Linked DNA regions of Danio rerio. The protein of the gene in region 1 purifies or fractionates together with the protein of each later gene. This does not show direct contact. Links are inferred from orthologs where the notes say so. Each region holds a gene or a part of one and is shown on either strand. Other genes may lie near its edges.

Evidence for each region. The genes of interacting proteins can lie anywhere in the genome.
Region 2: the proteins of eif3s6ip (region 1) and eif3ba purify together in Homo sapiens (affinity purification with mass spectrometry; 8 studies listed by BioGRID and IntAct, counting the BioPlex papers as one, with this or other methods). This does not show direct contact. The link is inferred for Danio rerio from reciprocal best matches to the Homo sapiens genes EIF3L and EIF3B.

Annotation. Positions count from the first base shown.
Region 1 is NC_133188.1:46,821,911-46,824,780, forward strand, and holds part of eif3s6ip (eukaryotic translation initiation factor 3 subunit L), read right to left. Parts: intron 2,180-2,870; coding exon 2,046-2,179; intron 724-2,045; coding exon 550-723; intron 1-549. UniProt on the Homo sapiens protein: Component of the eukaryotic translation initiation factor 3 (eIF-3) complex, which is required for several steps in the initiation of protein synthesis.
Region 2 is NC_133178.1:40,718,281-40,722,511, reverse strand, and holds the start of eif3ba (eukaryotic translation initiation factor 3, subunit Ba), read right to left. Parts: upstream 2,828-4,231; 5' UTR 2,698-2,827; coding exon 2,595-2,697; intron 2,209-2,594; coding exon 2,016-2,208; intron 957-2,015; coding exon 837-956; intron 1-836.

The DNA of each region.
Region 1 (2,870 bases):
CAGCAACTACTGAGGCGGGGATAAAGAAAGCAAGGCCCCATCTTTATTGATTAGTAAAATTTAGATAAACAAACAATGCATAATAAAAAAAATATGATTTATTACACATGTCTGCAATACATATACTCAAATACCACAATGATTTTGTCATAACGAGCAATAACGATAATTTTGAGATATATTGTGCAGCCTTAATATCTATCACTAAAAATCAATTGTTTTGCCAACAAAAATAGTAGCGGAAAGAAAAAAGTAGCATAAATTACAGAAGAGAATGTCATTCATTCATCCATAACTGGCCAAAAAATAGTGCAAAAATACTCAAAATTATTACTTTGTTAAATTTAAAAAAATCCCTAAACATAGATTACATTTTTTACCACACAACCAAAAATAGGAAAATATAATTCAATAACATAAGAAAAAACCTAAATTTAACATTCAAGTATTACAATATCCACAGTGTCCTTATGAATATCTGATAATGCCTTGCTGGGAGAAAAACACTGATTAGATTGTTCCTCAGAAGACGTCAGAGAACTGCTGTACCTGCGGATGGTGGAGAGCTGCGCCTGCTGCTGGACCTCCTCTGCAAACACCTTTAGCTGCTGCTGGAATGGCTCTTTGTGGTAATTTGGATGAACGTTTTCATAGTTTGGAACTACCGGCGACAGGAACTTGGGGCAGGCAAAACTGAACAACTCCTCGAACACCTGCAGATCTCTGAGTGACAAAAGAAAAAGAAATCGGAATAATTGCATAATTGCACAAAACACTTGCAAACAATTGCAATGGTTTTAGCAATGTGTCATCTCTCAAAGCAGCAGACCACACAAGAAACAACCACCACTGGCTTTGTTTCCATCAGCCTGTGTTAATACACATTTTGAAGCATCTCATGGTAAACAAGTGATGGAAATGCCAATTTTCATACAGAAATGCCGTAATTCAAAAAAAAAAAAAAAAAAAAAAAAAAAAAAAAAAATTGTATGTTTGCTCTGTTTTAGCCTTGAAAAGTATGAAAACACAATTGTCAAATAAACATACATACTGATGAAAATACAAATAATATACCATTAAAAAATAAAAATAATAATACAGTATTAATAATCAAAACAAAAAAAAAATTACTAAATTAAACAAAAAATAAGTTAAAAAATGAATTAAATTACAATGACACAAACTAATAACCACAAGGAAAGCAGCTAAAATCAAGGATCTTCTTTAAATACATCTGTTTATTTCAGGAATCTTACTTTTTTATTCTTAATAAGATAAGGTAATTTAGGAAGGGAGTTAAATTCTATTCTAAAATGAGCAAAGGATGGGTAATTATTTGCAAATTTCTTTATGCGAATAAAACAGGAGACATTACATTCCATGTAACCAATCAGCTGTCTCCATTATGCTTGCATTGTTTACTGGTTACTAGGTTACCAATAGTACTTTTATTTGTGAACTTTGGAAAGATTTGCTTCACATTAAAATGGAAAGTGAAGTCTTTATGTTTGTTCTTTATGCTTGTGAACACAATTCCAGGAGGAAATTATCCAGGCAAAATCACTTTGGTGATGAACATTTTCTCAGATTTCCCTTAAAGAATCCCTTAAGTCAGGGGTGTCCAAACTCGTTCCTGGAGGGCCAGTGTCCTGCTAAGTTTAGCTCCAACTTGCTGCATCACACCTGCAAGGAAGTTTCTAGTATATCTAATAAGAGCTTGATTAGCTGGTTCAGGTTTGTTTGATCAGGGTTGGAGCTGAACTCTCCAGGACACCGGCCCTCCAGGACTGAGTGTGGACACCCCTGACTTAAAGGATAATGTTATAGTGAAGACTGGAATAATGATGCTAATAAAAAGAGCTTTAAATTAAAGAAATAACATTTTTTAAATATTCACAAAACCATTACTTATTTTAACTTGTAATACAACTTCAAATTATTGCATTCTTCACTGCACTCTACCAAATAAATGCAGGAGAAACATCTATATTCACAGTCACTACTGTGGTGTGTATTGTGTGCGTGCATGTGTGTGTCTCTCTCACCCTTTCTGCATGCGCAGCATCTTGTCGCCGTATTTCTCGCGCAGTTGTGTGTGAATGCTCTCATCGATGCGCATCGGGTACATGGTGAGAGCGATGGCCAGCAGCCCGTGCATCTGTTCATTCTGTTTATTAATCTGAACAGCAGAAACCAGCATTCAGTAAAACACCACAGCACTGAACAACACAATGAAACTTTTTCAATCTTCAGCTACAGCATATGAGGCACAGGATTGTTTGGATGCGTTTAAAGGAATAGTTCACAAAAAAATAAAACATTTAAAATTTTTATTTACTGGCCCTCAAATGATTCCAAACCTTTATAAGTTTATTTATTCTGTTGAACAAAAACATTAAAAGATATTTTGAAGAATGGTGGAAACCTTTAAAACAAATAACATTAAATTTAGTAGTTACAGATTTCCAGCTTTCTTTAGAATATTTACTTGTGTTCAACAGAAGAAATGTCCTTACTATAGACCTTTTTCATGGCTGCTGCATGGAGGGCACCATAGCGACCAGCGTCTTCCTGTAGAATGCTAAAAACTTCCGTTTACAGCATTTACAACTGGTTATTTACACTCCGAAAATGGGTTTCAATAACGTTTGTAATGGATAACAGAGTGTTTTTGTGACACACAACTTAGAAATGTGTCTGTTAAAGCCGTTATAATCTGTCACATGTGGTTCAAGCGCGTCAGAAATACGAGAAAAACGTTCTCCTAGTTCACGTGTCTGCCGTCAGAAATACAGCGTTTATGCTGACAGCCTGTCAGCTGCTAGCTCAGCGGCTCTTTAACATACACACACAAACAGAGAGAGAGAGAA
Region 2 (4,231 bases), on another chromosome or scaffold:
GCTCTGTCCCTGAATACTGTCAAGACTGCCCAGAAAACAAGCAATGTTTCTTTTACTTCGGTCTTTGTTTTATTCCATTAATTTATGATTTGTAATTTGATATTATTTATATGCAGAGTTACTCCTCTGCAAAATCACCCCAGTCATTCAAAAATAAAACATTCTTTTCTAAATAAAGATATCCTGTCAAATTGTTTTCATATTGCAATAAACATAGAATCTAACATTGTAGCGTCAGTTATTTCCAACATCATGCAGTCCAAGTAGTATGCTTTATTTAAAAGGAAAGTTCACCCAAAAATAACATAAATTCTCACCATTTACTCTCCCTCATGTGGTTCCAACTCTACAGGAGTTTATTTTTCGAACATAAAATATATTTTAAAAATGTTGGATAATGGTAGCCAATGCCTTCCATAGTGAAACAAAAATACAAGTCAATGACTACCAGTTTTCAGCTTTTTGCAATATATCTTCATTTTTGTTCATCAGAAGAAAGAAGCTGAAATATTTGCTTAAAGCAAAAGAAAGGCGACAATTGGGGTGAAATATCCCAAAAGGTATCAAAAAATTACATTTTAATATTAATCTATTAAATATTAATAGATTTTTTTAATACTGATATCAGCATCTGCACAGCCCTGATATATTTCAAGCTAAATTGAGAGACGAACTGATCTGCCCTAAATGAAGTTTGAGGCATTAGAAACAGCTTGCCAAAATGCATTCTGGAAATGATAGACAATACTGAGTATAAATTATACAACACTGTAAAGGTTCTTTCATTAAAGCAACCTATTGCAGTACACTACTGCAGACCCTAAAAGATAACTTACTTGTCAAAGTCAGTGAACAGATTGACACGGAAGGTGTGCTGCTTGTCCAGCTTGTAGCCATCAGCGTTTTTTACCGCTTCATGAGCGTGACTTGGTGCAGAATACTCTAGGAAAATGTACCTGTAATGATAAAGCATGGAAAATTATTATAGACAAGTTTATATCTATAGCACATTTTATACTCAGTGGTTATTCAAAGTGTTTTACATAAACAGGAATAAAAGTATAAGAAAATAAAATCAACAAAGAATAAATAGGTTTTAAAAGAATGAAAAAGAAGACATAATAGTGCGATCTGTCAATACGTCCTATAATCCATAGAAAATATATACAACATTGCAAACATGCCATTAATAACTAGTACACATATACACTTTAAAACCTTAACAGAAACCTAAAAACTAATACAGATAGTTTGTGCTCAACTCATTTTATTAGACCATAAAAAAAATGTAAGGTTTGTGCCACAGCTGCCCTCTTTTTTTCTGTAATGGTTAAACCACCAATACATTTAAGCCTTTTAGTCACACACAGTAGTACTTGTAACGTCAAATTAAAATAATTGTTATCTGAGAACTTCCAAATTTACAAGAAAGACTTGAAAGCATATGTTTAAAAAAAAAAAAAGAAGCACATTAAGACCATTTATCGAGATGCCCAATAGCAGTTAATTACTTGCAGATTTCAATATGAAGATAATAAGATATGAAGAAAGATAAGTTATATTTGTGCAATGTTACAGTTTTCTGCAAATGCAGTTTGTGTTTTGCTAATAAACATTATTGGTTTTTAGTTAGTTTTAATGGCATTTGACAGATTACTTAAATATTTGTTTTCTTTTATAATAAAGTGTCTAATGAATTTAAGAGATAGTTCAAGCAATATGAAAATGCTGTAATTTACTCGAGCACCAGAGAAGAAAATGTCTTGAGGAATGTTGGAACCAGCAAGCCATAGAATCCCATAAAAACGTTCATACTACGGATATCATTGGTTAGTTTCCAACATTCGTCCAAACAATTTTAGAAAAAATAAAAACAAGCATTTAGAACCAACTTCACAGTGACTAAATGTTGATGCTTGGGTGAACTACCCTTACGTATTGCATCAATTATTGATTAAATGTCACCAATGGTGCATCCCTACATCCCAAAACGCACCAAGCAGACCCAAACATACCCCTTGGTCTTTCCATCTGCGTCAGGGTAGAACTCATTGGTGATTTTGCCAAACTTTGAGAAGATCTTGTGAATGACGTTCTTGAGCTTTTCCAGGCGATCAGGTCCGACCTGAGGCACATTATCAACCACGATGACTGAGTCGATGCCGTCAGCCTCCTGCGGTTTGTCCCTGAGAACATCCCCCAGCAGCTCTGAATGACCAGAAAACACACAGATAGAGTTAGTACAGTTAGCACAACAGCATTTGTTAAAGCAAAACGGCAGTACAATGACGTTTCTGAAGCCAAAAGCATAACAGCTGCTGACTCTATGCTGTTACGACACTAACGTTAGTCTATTTCCCTAAAGCTACTGCTAAGATGCTTTTGTCTAGTTCGCGCACATGCTGGACTTAAAGAGAAGCTTTGACTAACATAAAACGGCATTAACTGTGAAACAGCGTAGTTTATCAGCTTGAAAGATTGACACACAAATAAACCAAAGGATTTTTGTGTTAGCTCGTGGCTGACATGCTGAGCTATGGGGTTTAGTGTGAGACTGGGATCGGCAGGCGCGCTAAAGCAGGCCTCTCTCTCACCCTGATCACTGATGTCATCGTCGAAGTCCTCCGGATCACTGAACGAAGGCTCTTCTTCATCGTCATACTCCATTTCGGCCTCCATGTTCTCCGTATCTCGCATTTAGAGATCGGTTGCTGTGGGTCTGTGCTGGTTAGAAGGTGGTGGTGAATTTCACAGCAGTAATCCAGATATTTTACTCACTCGGCCATGTGCAAAGCAGCCGGCGCCAACCACTGCGAGCGAGAGAAGGACCGTACCATGTGCGCGGAGAGCACCTCAGGGCTCTGTTGGAGCGTTAGGATTCATGTACAGCATAATTGAAGGAAAAGGATAAAAATTTGCTTCATTGGCAGATTATGTGAGCTTAACACTTTTATGATATTTGGTTAAATTGTATACAATGTGTAGTTTTGTTGTGGAATATGACATGGCAGACCCCTTTTAAGTGAACTTGGTCTCGTCTTCTGCTTATCGCTCTCTGAACTTCCTGTTCATGTGACAAGAACCTCCCGTACAAGAGCGCGCAATGTTACCATCAGTTCTATTGTCCATCTCTGGCGACAGACAGACAGACAGACAGACAGACAGACAGACAGACAGACAGATAGATAGATAGATAGATAGACAATAACACTAAGTTAATAACAATCAAAACATTTCTATACTATTATAAAATATGCAAACTTAAAGGCACAATATGTACAATTTTTCTATTAAAATTAAATTCATGTCTTTTTCTTTAGCTCTTTTACAACGTAGACAGTGTCAAAGCAGCTTTACCTAGATAGAAGTTTTAGTAGATTGAAACTCTAAATCCAGTTTTCAGAGTTGAGGTTCAATTTATTTCAGTTCAGTGTGGTTTAAATTTCACTGTTGAAAGTCCAAACACTGAAGAGCAAATGTCCCAAGCCAAGCAAGCCAGTGGCAAGAAAAAAAACTTTACCAATTGATGAAAGTGAAGAAAAAAAAACCTTGAAAGAAACTAGGCTCAATTGGGCATGACCATGGCCAAACTTCCTGTGCAGAGCTGCAGTCTAGGCGCCAGATGCTGGAGAATGCTGAACGTCCATTATGTAGAACTGCAGGTGTGAGTAGGTCACCGGCGGGTGCTTAGGCTAACCCACAGGACCAATGTGAAGGCTCTTCTGTCACTGGGGTCTTTCAGGAATCAGTCTTTTGCTCTCTATGACTGCCGCAGCGTCAGCTCAGGATTCGGCCTGGTCCAGGATTATAAAGACCTTGGCATCATTTCTAGGATCGCATTAATGGTGCTGCAAAATATCTAGGCGCCTCGGGATAAGAATCCCCAGGTGAAAACAGAGAATGAAGAAAATAATGTGCTATAAATGAAATGTCCAGTACCACCTTTTTGACTTTTGTACTTGCAGTATACCAAATGTTTTGAAGAATGTTCAAACCCAGAGAAATCCACAATTTTACTCTCATGGACCTGCCATGCTTATGACATGAATCACCATCATACACCTTCAATAGTGTTTAAATAGTGTTTCATAGGACCAAACAGAACCTATTTAAAACAGAACCCTAAATGTACATAATTTGATAAAACCACTACTACTTCCCATGCTGTTTGTGTGCTGCGCATCGCTCATCTCTCATCAACAATTGCTTCAGCTCTTATTTCATTACTACA